Callithrix jacchus: one gene and its partners. The protein of the gene in region 3 binds, or shares a complex with, the protein of the main gene of each other region. Links are inferred from orthologs where the notes say so. Each region holds a gene or a part of one and is shown on either strand. Other genes may lie near its edges.

Evidence for each region. The genes of interacting proteins can lie anywhere in the genome.
Region 1: the proteins of GNAO1 (region 3) and C3AR1 are in contact, whole or in part, in a cryo-EM structure (PDB 8I95), measured with the Homo sapiens proteins. The link is inferred for Callithrix jacchus from reciprocal best matches to the Homo sapiens genes GNAO1 and C3AR1. Residues at the interface, in NP_066268.1 of Homo sapiens: Ile28, Ala31, Lys32, Asp33, Val34, Asn194, Leu195, Ser264, Asn316, Glu318, Tyr320, Asp341, Ile342, Ile343, Ile344, Ala345, Asn347, Leu348, Arg349, Gly350, Cys351, Gly352, Leu353, Tyr354; in NP_001313404.1 of Homo sapiens: Asn57, Asp119, Arg120, Val123, Val124, Pro127, Ile128, Gln131, Asn132, Arg134, Asn135, Tyr356, Ile359, Arg362, Gly366, Arg367, Phe368, Ser371, Lys374, Thr375, Val378, Leu438.
Region 2: the proteins of GNAO1 (region 3) and HRH3 are in contact, whole or in part, in a cryo-EM structure (PDB 8YN7), measured with the Homo sapiens proteins. The link is inferred for Callithrix jacchus from reciprocal best matches to the Homo sapiens genes GNAO1 and HRH3. Residues at the interface, in NP_066268.1 of Homo sapiens: Ile28, Ala31, Lys32, Asp33, Val34, Lys193, Asn194, Leu195, Asn312, Pro315, Asn316, Lys317, Glu318, Ile319, Tyr320, Phe336, Thr340, Asp341, Ile343, Ile344, Ala345, Asn347, Leu348, Arg349, Gly350, Cys351, Gly352, Leu353, Tyr354; in NP_009163.2 of Homo sapiens: Asn69, Asp131, Arg132, Ser135, Val136, Ala139, Val140, Tyr142, Arg143, Ala144, Gly147, Ile221, Ile225, Arg228, Arg232, Thr345, Phe348, Arg349, Arg352, Val356, Leu360, Cys415, His416, His417.
Region 4: the proteins of GNAO1 (region 3) and RGS16 are in contact, whole or in part, in a crystal structure (PDB 3C7K), measured with the Mus musculus proteins. The link is inferred for Callithrix jacchus from reciprocal best matches to the Homo sapiens genes GNAO1 and RGS16. Residues at the interface, in NP_034438.1 of Mus musculus: Glu64, Asp65, Gln68, Ser75, Arg86, Thr117, Val180, Lys181, Thr182, Thr183, Gly184, Ile185, Val186, Gln205, Arg206, Ser207, Glu208, Lys210, Lys211, His214, His236, Glu237, Asp238, Glu239; in NP_035397.2 of Mus musculus: Glu85, Phe86, Ser87, Glu89, Asn90, Glu124, Ala125, Pro126, Glu128, Val129, Asn130, Asp132, His133, Glu134, Leu161, Lys164, Asp165, Ser166, Arg169, Lys172.

What each region holds. Positions count from the first base shown.
Region 1 is NC_133510.1:22,885,490-22,889,746, forward strand, and holds the start of C3AR1 (C3a anaphylatoxin chemotactic receptor), read right to left. Parts: upstream 2,807-4,257; 5' UTR 2,653-2,806; intron 2,028-2,652; 5' UTR 1,910-2,027; intron 1,537-1,909; 5' UTR 1,415-1,536; intron 1-1,414.
Region 2 is NC_133506.1:57,779,908-57,783,933, forward strand, and holds the start of HRH3 (histamine H3 receptor), read right to left. Parts: upstream 2,807-4,026; 5' UTR 2,771-2,806; coding exon 2,161-2,770; coding exon of another isoform or gene 2,157-2,160; intron 1,131-2,156; coding exon 964-1,130; intron 1-963. UniProt on the Homo sapiens protein: The H3 subclass of histamine receptors could mediate the histamine signals in CNS and peripheral nervous system. Signals through the inhibition of adenylate cyclase and displays high constitutive activity (spontaneous activity in the absence of agonist).
Region 3 is NC_133521.1:14,059,638-14,063,700, reverse strand, and holds the start of GNAO1 (guanine nucleotide-binding protein G(o) subunit alpha), read right to left. Parts: upstream 2,806-4,063; 5' UTR 1,908-2,805; coding exon 1,790-1,907; intron 1,604-1,789; exon of another isoform or gene 1,573-1,603; coding exon 1,530-1,572; exon of another isoform or gene 1,412-1,529; intron 80-1,411; exon of another isoform or gene 1-79. UniProt on the Homo sapiens protein: Guanine nucleotide-binding proteins (G proteins) function as transducers downstream of G protein-coupled receptors (GPCRs) in numerous signaling cascades.
Region 4 is NC_133519.1:40,800,393-40,804,592, forward strand, and holds the start of RGS16 (regulator of G-protein signaling 16), read right to left. Parts: upstream 2,807-4,200; 5' UTR 2,677-2,806; coding exon 2,633-2,676; intron 1,775-2,632; coding exon 1,664-1,774; intron 903-1,663; coding exon 838-902; intron 557-837; coding exon 390-556; intron 1-389. UniProt on the Homo sapiens protein: Regulates G protein-coupled receptor signaling cascades. Inhibits signal transduction by increasing the GTPase activity of G protein alpha subunits, thereby driving them into their inactive GDP-bound form.

The DNA of each region.
Region 1 (4,257 bases), on a different chromosome or scaffold from region 3:
GTGAATGTGTGTGTTTCAACTTTTTTCATATTCTGTATGCAATGATGCATTTTACCTTATGTAATAATTATAATGGCTGTCTAATCTATTATTCTAGATTTAAACTTCATGATGGTAAAAAAGAGTCTTATTTATAAATGATTGTTTCACACAGTTTAACACAATGCCTTATGAGACCTTGAGGTTAAAGATTACGTGGACAGGCGGGGCACAGTGGCTCATGCCTGTAATCCCCATTCTGGGGGGCCAAGAGGAGCAGATCGCTTGGGGCCAGGAGTTTGAGACCAGCCTAGTCAACATGGCAGAATTCTGTCTCTACCAAAAATACAAAAATTAGCTGGGTGTGGTGGTGCACACTTGTAATCCCAGCTACTTGGGAAACTGAGGCAGAAGAATGCTTGAACTGGAGAGGCAGAGTTTGCAGTGAGCTGAGATTGCACCATTGCACTCCAGCCTGCATGACAGAGTGAGACTCTGTCTCAAAAAAAATTACTTGAATAGATGGATGCCCATTTTAGGGGTTGACTTTTTTTCTTTTGCAATTAAATCTAAAATTTTAATTTATATGCATTTAATCCTTACTTGGGCCTCTTCCGGAATTCCCATGCTGTCCCTTTTTACTTTCTTTTTGTTAAATTCCTAAGTTTTACTGGATATAATAACAATTTACATTTATTTTTACGAGGCTCAAAATATTTTCGTGGCTTGAAAGTAGCTCTGCTGAGTCAACCAAATATTTTCATAGGGCCTTATGTGATTAGCAGAAGTTAAAATAGCAAGTCAACAAAATAAAAAAGAAGAAATGATTCCTATTCCCCTTTTTATGGCCTTGTCTACTCAGATATTTAAATCCTATCAAGGTAACTTCCTAAAATATTGAGAGAAGGATAGAGTCCTAGGATGCTGGGACTGAAAGAAAACTTTGAAATCATCTCTCCTCTCTACATTTTTTTCTGGTCATTGTTTGTTCGTTTGTAGAGACAGAGGCTTGCTATGTTGTCCAAGCTGCTCTCAAACTCCTGGTCTCCAGCAATCCTCCCTCCTTGGCCTCAGAGTGTGCTGGGATTACCGATATGAGCCACCGCACCCAATCTACATCGTCTCAGCTTTTGTTTCTCAAGTTTGACAGTGAAACTTAGTAAATTAGATTCCTTTCATATAATCATTATTAGGGAGGATCTTGGATTTCAGGTCCAGTGACTGTTAGGCCAATGCTCTTTTTACTACCAAAATATATATATATATATAAAGATATATGGTAGGCTGAGTGCAGTGGCTCACGCCTGTTATACTAGCACTTTGGGAGGCCGAGGCCGGCGGATCACGAGGTCAGGAGATCAAGACCATCCTGGCTAACACGGTGATAGCCTGTCTCTACTAAAAATACAAAAAATTAGTGGAGCATGGCTCATACCTGTAGTCCCAGCTACCTGGGAGGCTGAGGCAGGAGAATCACTTGAACCTGGGAGGCAGAGTTTGCAGTGAGCCAAGATTGCACCGCTACACTCCAGCCTGGGCTATAGGGTGAGGCTCCATCTCAAAAAAAAAAAAAGGAAGATTATGGCATTGCTAATAAAGGGGAAGCAGCCAAGAACTGCACGAATTGAAGTAGCAGGAACTACAAACGGTGAAATTTCAATAAAAATAAATGGAGTTATCTGGCATGAGCTATATATTAAATATCGCATATTATTTATTTTGAAATGGAAGTATGTATGAATCAGTAATTAAAAGTTCTTCAGAACAAGGCTGGGTGCAGTGGCTCATGCCTGTAATCCCAGCACTTTGGGAGGCCAAGGTGGGCAGATCACCTGAGGTCAGGAGTTCAAGACCAGCCTGGCCAACGTGGTGGAACGCTATTTCTACTAAAAATACAAAAAAAAATTTAACTGGGTGTGGTAGCACATACCTGTAATCACAGCTACTCAGGAGGCTGAGGCAGGAGAATCACTTCAACCTGGGAGTTGGAGGTTGCAGTGAGCCAAGGCTGTGCCACTGTACTCCAGCCTGGGCAACAGAGTGAGACTCTGTCACAAAAAAGAGAAAAAAAGTCTTTCAGAACAAGATTACTTTTTACATTTCTTTAAGTTAATTTGGCTAAAAAGTACCATACCTTTATGTTTAAGATTAGTAGAGGATTAAAAAAATTATTACGAAATTGACCAGCAGTAATTTAATGATAATATCCTGAAACTAAAATTCCACTATGATAGGGAAAGAAACGTGGACCACGGAATCAAATTGTAATAATAGAATAACAGAGTCAGTAGCAGTAAGGAATGGGCAAAAGAATAAAAAAAAAAGAAAGAGGAAAATAGAAAGGGAAAAAAAGGGCAATAGGGCAATCAATGATTTGAAAAACAAACTAATGGGGACAGCTAGAATCAAAGTTCAGGGGAAATACACAGCTAATTCAAAGACAGGAAAGAAATGGCATAAAGTTCACTATTAATTGCACTATGAAATATTAAAAGCAAAGACAAAAGCAATGTGGAATATTTAGAAACAGAAAGTTAGACATAGAGATAAGACAAAAGAATTGAAAATTGGAGAAGGAATGGGGAAATAGAAGATAATGACCCTTAAACTCATTACTTATAATGAGCGAAACAGGTTAAGTGCAAGTCATCAGGTGGATTTAGATTTTCTTACCAAAAAGCTGAGACAGTAGCTGAAGGCTTCAGCACCTGGATGTTCCCATGAGTCCTGTCTGGTCCCCAAACTTAGCCACAATGAAGTCATGAAGTATGACAAAATTTGCTGAGCATTCTCTCCTTCTTTCCTTCTCTGTTTCTGGCAACAAATTAAGCCTTATGCTCTAGACCACTATCTGACTTCACAGGAAGAGTTTCAAAGTGAGTCATTTCTAAATGACTTAGAAAGGAAAAGCAGAAAAACAGAAGTAGGAGGTTATAATTCTGGGACATTTTCCGCAGCACACAGAGAATGGTTAGAGAGAGGATAATTCTATACACAGGCTTCTAACTTTGTAGGTTTTGTTTAGAAATGTAAAAAAAAAAAAAAAATGACTCTATGAGATGTGACGGTTGGGGTGGGGAGTGGGTGGAGAGAAATGACCCGAACAAAACCCATTTAATTAATCTCAAGTAACAGCTCCTAAATGCTTGATATATGTGAAAAATGGTGCCATGCCAAAATCAGGATGAACTAAGCTGTATTCTAATCTCCAAAGATTCACAGTCGAGTGGGAATATGCACCCAAATACATACACACAAAACTGTAATACAACCCAGACTATAATAATAGAAGTAACAATAGAAGTAAAATAGTATAACACTCTGGGCAGGGGTATTTATAACCCAGGGCAATCTAGGAAAGTCTTAAGATAGAAATAAGATGTGGGCAAGTCCTTAAGTACCCGCAAGACTTCTAGAGACAGAAAAAGGTGGCTGAGTGTGGTGGTTCACGCCTGTAATCCTAGCATTTTGGGAGGCCGAGGTAGATCACTTGAGGCCGGTAGTTCAAGAACAGCCTGGTCAACCTGGTGAAGGCCTGTCTCTACTAAAAATACCAAAAATTTGCTGGGCATGATGGTGGATGCTTGTAGTCCCAGCTACTTAGGAGGCTGAGATGGGAGAATCACTTCAACCCAGGAGACAGTGTTGTAGTGAGCTGAGATGGCACCACTGCACTTCAGCCTGGGTGGCCGAGTGAGACTCCATCTCAGAAAAAAAAAAAAAAAAAAAAGGAAAAAAAAGAAAACGGTGAAAACTTGCTTAGCCTGTAAGAGGAGCCTACTCAAAGGCAGGTAGATGGGAGAGGGCAGATGGGTGTTCTTAGTGGACACTGAAGAACAGGCTGGAGTCCAGGTGGTGTTTCATCAGAAAGGAGTACAAAGGACTGAAGATGATTCTTGCTTAATGAATATGCTGTAAATCATTTTTTAAAAATTGTACTTTGGGCTCTGGGGTACATGTGCATGTCTTGCATCCTGCAGGATTGTTGCACAGGTCCATACACGCCATGGTAGTTTGCTGTCTCCATCCCCCACCCCGTCACCTACATCAGGTATTCCTCCCAGTGTTCTCCCTCCTCATCCTCCCCGCCCCCCCAACTGTCCCTCCCCTCCCCTTCACCTCTCCACCTACTCCAGTGAGTGTTGTTCCCTTCCCTGTGACCAAGCGTTCTCACTCTTTGTCACCTGACTATGAGTGAAAATATGCAGTGTTTGGTTTTCTATTCTTGTGTCAGTTTGCTGAGAATGATGGTTTCTAGATTCATCCATGTCTCTACAA
Region 2 (4,026 bases), on a different chromosome or scaffold from region 3:
GATCACAGCTATTGCTAATGAGAGCTGGGCGGAGCACCTCTGAGCCAGGCTCTGGGCTAGGCTGCTTTCCCCTTTGAGTCAGCTCTCCTTGTGCCCCATGCCTGGGGCCTCCAGGAAAGGAGGGAGAGACCACGGGGTGATGGGCTCAAGAGGACCCCAAACCCATGCTCTTTGCACCTGTCTCTTGGCCTTTCTAGGCTAGAATGAAACAGTTGCCCTCAGTTCTGCAGAGGACCTGATAAAGCCCTGGGAAGGTGAGCTGCCAAGGAGAAGATGAGAAGGGGAAGGAGTGACTTCAGCAGCGGCTCCCTGGGCTGCAGAGCACGGATGCAGGAGCCCAGTGAGGGTAGGGTCCCTGACTCAGGTGGCCCTTCCCGTGAAGGGAAACATGGAGTCAGGATCTGCCACCTGCCTTCCTGGGGCCTGTGTGTTATCCACGCTTGCATTCACGCATGTGTGAGGAATGTTGCCCAGGGCCTGTATGTGTATGCATGCTTACACTCATGCATGTGTGAGGGATGTCGCCTGGGGCCCCTGTGCACTCACACATGTGAGGGATGTCATCTGCCTTTCCAGTGCCTGTGTGTGTATGCACACTTGTACTCTCGCATCTATGAGGGATGTCACCTGCCTTCCTGGTGCCTGTGTGTGTATGCACACTTGTACTCGCGCATGCGTGAGGGATGGCACCCATAGCCTCTGGCCCCAGATCCTCCCTTAACTCTGGAAACATCTATGTCCAGATTCCCTGCCTCTTGCCTGGGCCAGGACAGTCTGGCTGGCAGCCATGGCCCCAAGTGGGCAGCTGGCCATTGAGCGGCCCCTATGTCAGCAGCAAGGCCAGTGGGACCAAGCCCACTTCTGCTAAGAACTCAGAAGTGACCGTTCCCACTCCGGTGCCTCCCATGGGCGTCCAGACCAGCCCTGCAGGAGTGAGCAGGGGCTCCAAGGCCCAGGACTCACGGCTCGGGTGACTGACAGGAAGCGGTCGTAGCTGATGAGCACGATGTTGAAGGCAGAGGAGGTGCACAGCAGGTAGTCCACCACCAGCCACAGCTTGCAAAGGCCCCGGCCAAAGGTCCATCGGCCCGTCAGCACATAGGGCACATACAGCGGGATGCAGAAGGCACCTGTGGGGAGCAGGGCCACAGTGGGACCATGCCGCCAGGGGCCAGAGGACAGACCGACCTCAGCACAGACACTGGCAGGACGTGGGGTCACATAGTGGCTGCCTTTCTGGGACCAGCCACCCTCATCTTACCACCCCCTCCAGCTGGTCTCAGCCACACACTCTGCCCTGCCACCAGCCTTCACCCCAAATAGCTCCCAGTACCACTGGTGTCCCCTGGACCTGGAGGCAAGAGGGAAGATCAAGGCATGGGGACCTCTGGCCACCACAAGATTGGGAGAGCCTGGAGTCAGGACTCCCTGGACTTCTGTCCCTCCCTCCCAGTCCTCAGAGGAGGAAAGAAGATAATTTCCCTCTCCCCTCCTTCGAGGGACTCCAGCCCCTACCCTCCCTCTCGGCTTAGACAACGAGAAAACCTTTCTCCTGGCTGACAGAGGGCACTTGCTTGCAGCCGCCAGCCGCTACTACTGCCAAGCCCGGCTTGGAGCGTCTGGGAGACGCACCTCACAGCCCCAACAGGTGTCTGGCGCTCCAGCCCCCTCCGCGTGCCCCGCCCCGCAGCCGGCAGCAGAGTCTGGACACGTGAGAGCACGCTCCTCCGAGCGTCTCCCCCAACCCCCACCTTCCGCACGTCCCCTCCCCCAACACAACTCTAAAAATCTCCCTTCCATGTCCCCTCCCCCAGACCTTCCCTAAACCGCCCCCCTGAGCCCTCCTCACGTCCTAAGTCCGCAGCGGCCTTTGTTTGGCTACGGCGCAGGGGCCAGCGCTGCACCCGCTGCCTTTGCGTCTTGCACCTCTCAGAGCCCGTGTCCCTTCCCGGCGACACCCCTCCCCAGCCCCTGTCCCGTGTTCTGAGTGGCAAGGAGCTTTGTCCGTGACCCCCACTCCATGGGCTCCGGACGCCCCCGGCCCACGCCGGGCCCCCTGGTGGGGCGTGTGCCCGCGGGAGCCACCCGGGTCCGCGCTCCAGTCCCCACCGGCCGGCCACACTGGGTCCCACGGCGGCAGGGGGCTAGGGATTTACCCACGAGGAAGTCGGAGATGGCGAGGTTGAGCAGGAAGAAGTTGTTCTGGGTGCGGAGGCTCGAGTCGGCCACGAAGGCGAGCATGACCAGCGCGTTGCCCAGCACCGTGGCCACGATGAGCAGCGCCATGAGCGCGGCCAGCACCGCGGTCCAGGCTGCCGAGAAGCCGCGCGCCCCGCCCGCCGCCGCCGCCTCGCCAGCCAGAGCCCCCGAAGCGTTCAGCGGCCCGTCGGGCGGCGCGCGCTCCATGGCCCCGCAGGCTCACGCGGCTCCGGGACGCGCGGCAGGGCGCCGGCTGAGAGCTGGGCGGCCGGGAGGGGCCCCGGCCAGGGAGCCTCGTCTTTGTGGGCCCTCGGCCGTGTCGGGTTCCCCGGGGGGCGCCCAGCGCATGGTCCGCGGGGCCGGGGCCTGGGCCAGGGCGGGCGGTGGCTAGGGGGCCGGAGACGGATCCAAGCCCAGCGGCGCCGGGCCGGCGGCGCGGCTGCTGCAGCGGGAGAGGAAGCGGAGCAGGAGCCGCTGCCAGCACGACCGTGCACCCCGAGCGCAACGCGCAGCCGAGTGCGCCCCGCGCCCAGCCCACCGCCCCCCGCGCCCCGCGCAGGGCCCCCGCCATTGGCTGCCGCCCTCGCCCCGCCCCCTCCCCCGCCCCGCCCGGCGCCGGCAGCACCACGGACAGCGCCGCGTGCCCGCCGGGCAGGCTGGAACCCAGCCCCTGCGCTCACCGCAGCTGGCTGGACGCCCGGCCGGGGCTTGGCCGGGTCTGGGGGCTCGCCTGTGGTCAGTCAGCTCGCTCACTCGGAGCCGGGGTCTGGGTTGCTCGGCCTTTCCCCTGCCCTCGGCCCTGGTGACCCCTGCCCGGTCATCATGGGGAGCCCTGGCGCTGGTGGGGACCTGGGCTGGGGGTGGGGGAAACGCCTGCACCCGCGCTCCGGGGAACTTGCCCTGCGGGGCATTTCCTCGGTTCAGGTTTTTAGAATGTGGGTCTCCGGGGAAGGAACGTCTGGTGAAGAAAGGTCGGGGAGGGGCCTTGGAAAGCCGGTGCCCAGACCAGGGGTCTGCTCCACCTCCCCTTTGCACGGACACCGGGTGCCAGCCTCCCTGTGGAAAGGACCCAGTGCAGGGTCCGGGGTGACCTGCAAGGTGCAGGCAGATGTGGAGTTACATAAGGGAAGATGAGGCGCTGGGCGGACCCAGCCGGAGGGGAGCGCGTCCAGCCTTGGCTCCGGCGGCCTCAGGCTGAGGAAGCAGGAAGCCCCTTGGAGCACAGCCATGGACCCCGGTGGACAGAGGGGCAGTCGCTGCTATAGCGGACAGACGAGGTCACTGCGCTCAGGTCGCGGGTGGTGGCTGTGTTAGCGCCTGTGGGAGGGGACGGGGGAGGAGAGGATAGGTGGCCGGAGGAAGCGCCCCGGCCACCAGACACATGCGCTCAGATAGACGGGGTCAAGGACAGATTCCGCCTGAAACACTCAGGGCAGACAGACATGCCCACACTTAGATACACAGACACCCACAGGCCAGGGAAGCTGCCGCCAGTGCCAGGCTGAGCACCCACCAACAGCGAGACACACATCAGACAGCAGGCAGGGAGGGAGCCGCACCTCAGGAGAGGGAAAGCGGCAACTCCGCTCTGTCACCAGCCGCAGGCATCCACGGCACCTCAAAGAGGGTAGAATGCGAGTGCCTGGTGGGGGGCCGCAGAGGGGACCTGGCTGCTGACACCCACCATCACTCCCTCCTGTATAGCAGCTCCCCCATCCTGTGGGGACCCACCCCTTTCCCTCGCTCCCAGTGTCACTTCAGAAACTTTGAGGAGAGTGGGGCTGGGATTCCTCTGCGGCCTCCCCAGGGCTGACTGCAGGGAGGAAC
Region 3 (4,063 bases):
TCGAACAAAAATAAGAACATGTCAAGCCGATGGGGAAACTGTCTCCGAGTCGCTACTCCCTACCATCATGGCGCCGCCTAGAACCCGCTTGTCATGCCTGTTACACATGCAAGATTTTTTGCATCTTGGTTCTGAAACCGCAAGCATGCTTCGTCTCCCACTCCCAGCTTCCCACGAAAGGGGTTTTTATTTTCCATTGTTTCCCTACGCGATGCAATTACTTCGGCTACTCTGTCAAGTTGAAAAATAATCATTTTTGTTTACTGTACGGCAACCCCTAATTAGGAGCTGTGTGTGCACGAAGGTGTCACAGCAAAGCGACATGGAATTTTCGCTAAACGGTCTTAACGAACTCCTCCGTCCTGAACTGACAGGCCAACGGAAGCAGGAGGCCCCGAGGGCGCACACCTCTTTGCGGCCAGCCACCCCCTCCCCAAGCAAAGCTGCCTGTGGGCTCACCAGGAACTGCCGGGTGAATAGGGCAAGAAGCGAGCCTGCGAGTGGGAAGGAGGGGCGAGGCTCCTTATTGAGAAAGTGTGGAAGGGAAGGAATATCCCATTTTGTTTTAATTTTCAACCATCACTCAAATCCACCCCCAGTTAATTAGGAGGGGAAACTGATAGCTAAGGCAGAAGGGGGCGGCGGAAAGTGGGGCCTGAAATCCGCATTGTGAGTAGATTGCATGGAACATGGCCTATGCAGAGTGTAAATAAATACACTGATAAAGGCCACGGAGCGAAGGAAAACTGCGGGTATCAGGAGAGCAATGCTGGGAGGGTGGGGGAGGAGAGGAGCTGGGGGCAGCAAGGGGCGGACATTCAGCCTCACAGGCAGCTTCCCTCCCCCTTCCACCTCTACCTTGGATAAAACTGTGCCAGTCACTACCGCTTGGAAACCCACTCCTTCCCCTAGCACACGACCCCTCCCCTAATCCCCTCTTTTTTGGGGGGGGGCGAGGAGACGTAGAAAACACAGCCTCCAATTCAGCACCAAACGCATGAACAGCAGACACCTGATCCTCCACCCCAGTCTAGGGCTGGGTCCCCTCCATGTTAGCCAAGTTCAAAATCACTGCCCCAGGAGAAGAGCAGGGGGAAGCGGGATTACGGACCTTCGGGGATAGGGAGGTATGGAGGGAAGAGGAGAGAGAAATAGAGACAGAATGAAACAGAGACACAGAAATGGAGGCAGTGAGACACAAAATATTCCACAAGCAAGAGTAATGATCATATTCATGCCAATAGTGTGATGTTCTGATCAATATGGCGGACGCTGTCATTCATACAACTACAGGCGCTCCCCTTCCCCCTCCCAAAAAACACCCACCCGGTAGTTGGGGTGGAGGACCAAGAACCAACGTAGGGAGTGGGGGAGGGGAGTCAAATATAGGGGTGTGTGTGTGTGTGTGCGTGTGTGTGCACGAATTAAAAAACAGGCCTGGAGAGCAATGTGGAGTAAGCAAGGTAATAAAAACGATTTTAAAAATTATTCTTAATAAAAGTACAAATCCCAGTGCCACAGGGACTTACTTCATCTGCTTCACAATGGTGCTTTTTCCTGATTCTCCAGCCCCTGTTGGGACACAGACAGTGGGGAAAAACTGGTGAGTGTCAGCTTAAAGGAACGGGGGGGGGGGGGCTAAGGCATGCGAGGGGGTGGGCGATCCTGGGCACATGGTGGTGCCAACTTAGGGACCAGGTCTACCGGCTGCGGGTGGGGTGGAGGAGCTGGCGGCAGGGGTGCGGAGTGGCCGGGGTCGGGGGATGGGGGTGGTAGCGGCGGTTCTTACCCAGTAGGAGTAATTTCACATCTTTGGCGGCGCTGATGCCATCCTCTTTGAGGTTTTTCTCAATCGCCTTGCTCCGCTCGAGGGCGGCTCTCTCCTCTGCGCTCAGAGTACATCCCATGGTGGCCCCTTCCCTGCCACAGCCCGCACAACTCCGCTGGCACGGCTCCCCGGCTCGGCGCGCCCCCCACCCCCCCAGAGAGCAGAGCCTGGGCTCAAGGGGGGAAAATCACGATATCCTCTCCTGGGCTGGAAACAAAAATGTCGCGTAACCAGAACCCCCCAAAAAGACAGCCGCTAACAAGATTCCAGTAGCGGAGACTCGCGGCAGCTGGTGGGGATCTGGGGGTGTCGAGTCGAGGATGGCCGGAGTCAGGGGCTCCGGAGCCGAGGGAGGAGGCGCCCGCGGGCCGAGGAGGCGCGGGCTGCAGGCACTGAGGCTTGTGCACGACCCAAAATAAATAAAATAATAGTCGAGGCTGGAGCCGCAGCCGGAGCCGACGGAGGGTGGGGTGGGGGGCAGGGTGGGTCCTGCTGCCGCGGCTGCTGGAGGAGGAGGCGGTGGCGGCGGCGGAGGAGGAGGTGGCGGAGGCGGCGGCGGCGGCGCGGGATGTGGAGGGAGTGAGTTAGGGGGTGCTGCTAGTGCATGTGCATCGCCGCTCTTCAGCCGTCGGTGCGTCCGCGGCGCCTTCGCCGACCCCCGCGCGCTGGGCAGGGCTGGGCAGGGGGCCGGACCGGGGGGCAGGTCTCTAGCGGGAGGCGGCGTTGCGGTCTCCCAGAGCTCTCATCGCTCGGTGAGCCTACCGGAGAGAGGGAGAGCGCCAGGGAGCCGCGGCCAGCCGGGTGCTCGAGGGAGAGGGAGAGAGAGAGAGAGGCAGGGAGGGAGGGGAAAAAAAAAAAAATGGTAGAGCGAAGGAGCGCGCCCGCGCCAGGGCCCGGGTTGGGGGAGGAGGCGAGCGCAGAGCGCGAGTGAGCCAGCGACTCTGCGCACCCGGCTCCGCGGGCCGCCGGCTGACGTCAGCAGGGCCGCGCGCCGAGCCCCCGGGACTGGGAGAACGCGGGGCGGGGGAGGCGCGCGCCGGGGGTCCGCGTCAGCCGGCGGAGGCGCGCACGCGCGTTCGCGGAGCATCCTCCCCCCTCCCCCAAGCGCCCTCCGGGCCCGCGGCTCCCCGGGGGTGGGCGCGTGCGAGGCTGGCGGGGGCGGGGCGTGGGGCCGGGCGCGCGCCGGGGCGCCCTACCCCGCCCCTGCCCCCGCCCCACGCGGCGGCGGCGCGGACCTCCTTGTCAATGGGAGTGCTGGGCCGGGCAGGCAGCGCGGCAGTCAGGTGGGCCCCCCAGCTCGCGGCCAGCGCGGCCTCTGTCCCTCTCCCGCAGGCTCTCCATCTTGTCTCCCGCAGCCCGCCTTCTCCGTGGCTCTCCAGCTGCTGGGGCCGCAGAGCCGAGGTCAGGTTACCTCAGGAGACGCGATGTGGTAGTGGGTTGCAATAAAACCTCGCGCACCAGAATTCGCCTCTGGGGCGTGAGGACAGATTCGGACTTTTCGAGTCCTTAGTCCACATTTATAGAGCACCTACTATGTGAGAGCCAAGGCTGTAAGGAGAGGAATGCAGCGGGCCGAGAAAAGCCTGGGCCTGTTCTCCGGGAGCCGCTGCCTCCAGGGCCGTCGGCGACCCTGCTCGGAGATCCCAGCCGCCGCTCTCCGTGCAAGAGGGGTGCCCACCCTCGGAGGCGTGAGGGCCCGGAGCGGAGGGACAGGGCTTCAAGCGACCGGGAGCTTGCAGCAAACCCCTGATCCCTGAGCAGTTTTATTTAAAAAGCTTTTGCAGATGTTGGACGGTTTAGTCTGGTGGAGGCCTCTTTGCACTGAATTCTTCTGTTTTCCCCCTTCCAAACACACAAAATGAATTTTGAATAGATTCTGGATGAGAGATTTTCTTCCTTTTTTCATCTTCTGAAACATTTCCCCCTCATTTCTATGCCGATAGAAAGACCCAGAAACCCGGGTCAGTTACTCGGTGTACAGCTAGTCAAATACTGAGGAAACCAGTTGATATTTGCCAAAGATTGGGCATATTCTGGGTGGTCTCAGATTTTGAAGAAATGAATTTTTTACTGCACAAAATAATTTTACAATTAGTTCCATCAGACAGCCCCAGGGGCTCTCCTAGGGAAAGGGGCCAATAGGCAAGGTTGCATGGGGATAAGAGAGGCAAGCGGCCAGTGGAAAACGTTGTTTTTTTTTTTTCCCCTAACAGTTGGGCATTTCTGTGGCTCTGA
Region 4 (4,200 bases), on a different chromosome or scaffold from region 3:
ACTTAGAAAAAAATCACAGACCACAGACCTGCAAGCCTCAGGCAGGTCAGCCTGGGGACTGAGCCAGGTTATGTAAGGTCCTCGTGCTAACCTTCTCTCTCCAGTTGGTGAGTGTTTTGAGCCTTTAAAAATGGACGGGTTTATAAAGGTGGGTATGGACTGAAGCCAAAAATCCTGCCAACCCATCTTGCCCCATCATGAGTCACAGGGTGAAGACCCAGGAGTGGCATTGAGTCTGGCTTTCCTAGTCTCTGGCCACAGAAGCCCACTCACCCCTGTGTCAAGTAAGGCCCTTCTATTTCTACACCTTCCTCCCCACTAGCCCAGACTCTCAGAGGGGAAGGAGCAGGCAGGGTGGTGCAGATTCATATGCATGGCGGGGCTCTAACCTCTTTAGGGGCCTCGCTGCATATGAACTCCTCGAAGATCCGGTGTGCCCTGGAGGCCAGTTTGGTAGCTGATCGGATCTTCTTGAACTCCTCACAGGCTAGCCAGAACTCCAGGTTCTCTTCGCTGAACTCGGTCTTCAGGAAAGCGTGGAAAGCAGCCACTCCATCTGGGTTGTGGGAGAAAGGAGGAAACAGGTCAGACAAGGGACAGAAGGCAACTAAAGAAAGGACAGCAATTTCACTTAATGGCCCTATTTTTAAACATAATTTTCTTGAACAAAGGACCTGCCTTTGTACGTTGAATAGAGGCTGGCACACTAGGGGTCATTATTATTATTATTACTACTACTATTATTCCGCCCAAGCTTTCAGCAGTCCTGGGCCTGGCTCCAAAGCACGTGAGTACCCACGTGCCACCCACAGACAGACACAAAAGGCTCCTACTCACTTTTACTGCTCAGCAACAGGTCGAACGACTCTCTCCACCCCAGCACATCTTCTGAGAAGTTTCTACTAAAAGAAAAAGGAAAAAAAAGAAAGTAAGAAAAAAAATCAACAAAGTAAAGCATAGCACAAATTCTAGCCAGAACTCTGATGGAAAGTTGAGTAAAATTCACACAAAGACTTGCTTGGTGATTGTTGAAGCTGACACCTCAAACTCTTAGTTGGACTTAGGGTAAGCACTGTGTTTTCTAGAGAGCAATTCAGCAACCAGAAATCAAAGTTAGGGACTCCTTAGTCCTCAGTCAATATCTCTAAGGCTGTCTCTTCTCTGCCCAAAGTTATTTCGATTCCCCTGACTCTCAAAGATTTGTTTTGTATACCTCCCCAAGGAAACTGGGGCTCATAGAGATGACATCTACACATAACTCCAGAGTTTGGTACTGTTGATAGCCAGTATGAAAGGGTTTCTAGGCAAGGCGCATGCTAGAGTCATTAATAAAAACTTCAAGCAGTCTTGGACACCGTCCTAGCCCCGGACGTATGTGCAATGAACGCCCAGGTGGGAGAGTCTGGTAACTAGACATTCATGCCCTGTGTGCCCTCATCTGTGGATGGACTTGGAGCCCTGGAGCCACCTACCCACTCACCCATGAGCCAAGTAGTCATAACAGACCAGCGACAAGTCCCGCTAAAATCTCTAGAGAGGGGATGCCGAGGTCCACTTAGCATGTCCTGGCTTCTCCTTGCATTTCCCTCCTCGTGACAACTTCCCTCCTCCTTTTCCCCGCTCCCTTCCCACTAGGAACCCTGGGCTGGTCAGCAACACTTACTTCTCTTTGCCGTGTTTACTGCTCCACTCGAATTTGCCAATACTCCCAGTATTGGAGCCCAGATCTGATTTGTGAAGAAAGATCCCCAGACGTGTCTTGAACTCTTTGGCTCTGGAAAACAAATCACAAACGTGAAAGGGTTCTCATTTGCTCAGCCAGTGTGGAGAGGTTTGTGGATCCCAGAAGAGTTCTGGGCGGCCCCACTGAAACTTTAGCCTCAAGAGTTCCTGGGAACTGTTGGTTGTTCCCAGGGCCCAAATGTGCTTCTCTTCACAGCATCATCAACCCCAAAACGACGACAGCACCGTCTGAGCTATGCGGTGGTGGGTCTTACACTTTCTGGGTAATACACACACTGCATATATGGGCTTTATCCTAAAGTCACACTGATCTCTCTCTCTTCATGCCTGTTGATTCAGAAGAGAACTCAGCATTCTTTTCAGAAGTATTTCTGAACTGTGTGGAAACTGATTCCTGCCTTCATCTTTACTTTTTCCTTGCCAGCCAGTAACAATTGGAAGCTGTTGAGTAGCTCTCTGAAACATGGACACACCCTCAACAGTGGGACCCCCCCCCCACAAAAAAAAATCTCCCTGCCTGCTAGGGGCAAAGGGGGCCATGCCCCTAGCTCTGGGCTGAGGAATGAAAACCAAGTGCTTAAGAAATGGGCAGGCTCCATTCTGCCTGGAAATGTCAACGTGGCCTTCCTGCAGCCGGCTCTTCAGCAGGTCACCTGAGCACGACTGCAGTTTGTCAGAGGATGGGGATGGCAGCAAGCAGCAGGCCCTCGCTTCCCTTCCCCCTGCTTTCTCCCTGCTCCTGGAATCTGAGCACGTGGCATCAAGTTCGCCTCTACCTCTCAAGTCTCTAGCGCCCCATACCCGCGCCCACCTAGGTCCCCAGGCCTGCCGCTCCACTCCCTAGAAGTTGGTGGGACTTCCAACAAGCATTTGGACAAGCTCCCCTTACCTCTCCAGGCAGGTGTTGGGGAAGGCGGCCAGGGTGCGGCACATGGCTGCGGGCGCAAGGCAGCACGTAGTGGGCAGGATGGTGGCGGGCTCCAGGAGGGTCCTCGAGCGCGAGAAAGCAAAGGCGCAGTAGCAGGTGCTAGTGTGCTGGGGTTGGGGTTAGCAGCCTGCATGCGCCCAGGCTGCGCTGCCGCTGCGTTTATCCCTTCGGAGGGGCGGGGCGGGGCGGGGCGCTCTGACCAATCGGAGGGCGGGGCGGGGCGCCGAGACGGCGGAGGCTGGGCCAGCAGCCAGACCGTGCCGGACTCAGCTTCGCTGCATCTTGGAGCACGCGGCGCTGCACCCTGCGCCCGCAGGGCGCCGCGTGGAGAAGGAGAAGCGGCAAGAGGATTGGCACGGGGATGAGACGTGCGCACCCAGTTTCCTAGGGAAAAAAACCCGCCGACCTGTAGTAACAGCAGGAAACTCACGCAGCGGTGTCGTGTTGGGAGGGTTTGCATGGGGGTGGTGGGTCCGGGAGGCACGCGGGGCTTTGATCCCAGGCAAGTCTGAGCCTGCTGGGTCCTGAAGGACGGCGCACAGGGTGCACGCTGGGGCAAAACAGCATCCGATTATACCGATAAGTACCATTTACGGGGCTCTTACCCCGATCGATGGACACGGACCTAAGTAAGCTCTTCTTCATCATCATCTCCATTTTATAGTTGAAACAGGTGAGAATCAGAAAGCTAAAGAAACTTTCCCAAGATCACAGTTGGAGATGACAGACAGGGATGGGTTGATGATTTTGTTGAACACCTACTATGTGCCAGGCACATAACCTAAGACTCATATTAAATAACTTGCTCAAAGATGTTCAGTTAGTAGGTGTTGACTCCCAAATTCAAATGTGAATTTATCATTCTTTTTCTGTTGCACCCCCTCCCCTTCCCCGCACGGCCCCCCCCCCAACCCTGCACCCGAAAAGGTTAGAATCCAGTCACAGCTATAACTGGTGGACCATCCTGGGTTTAAGCAGTTGCTACCTTAGTGTCTCCATCTCTGAGATAAAGGTAATAAATGCCCTGCCTCTCTCCTCACCTTCCCATAAAGGCATTACATCCTCCCCCAACACCCCTCAGTTCCCTTTGGGATTGCTATTAAGAGGCTGCATGTGAGGGTAAGAGTACAGGGTCTAGAGTTAGATTTTCAGGTTTCCAGTCACGGCTCTGCCAGTCACTGATGGGAGACTAGGCAAACTGCTTAACCTTTCTGTGCCTCCATGTCCTTGTCTCTAGGAAGAGAACAACTTATTTCATAAGGTGGTTGTGAGAACCAAATAAATTAATTCTTAGTTTGAGTTCCTACGAACTAGACTCTGAGGCAGAGGCTTGCGTGCAGGGGGTTTACTGGGGAGAGCGTTCAGAATTGAGAGCAAGTAAAGGAAGCAGGTTTGGACAGAGGGAGGAGTTGAAGGCCATGCCATTTCAAGAGAGACCCCAGCGGCTTCCAGGGAATGGCCTGAAGCTCAGCTGGCCCTTTGGAACTGTCTACTGAAGCAAGAGGACAGGCCCTGGTGACCCCATAAAG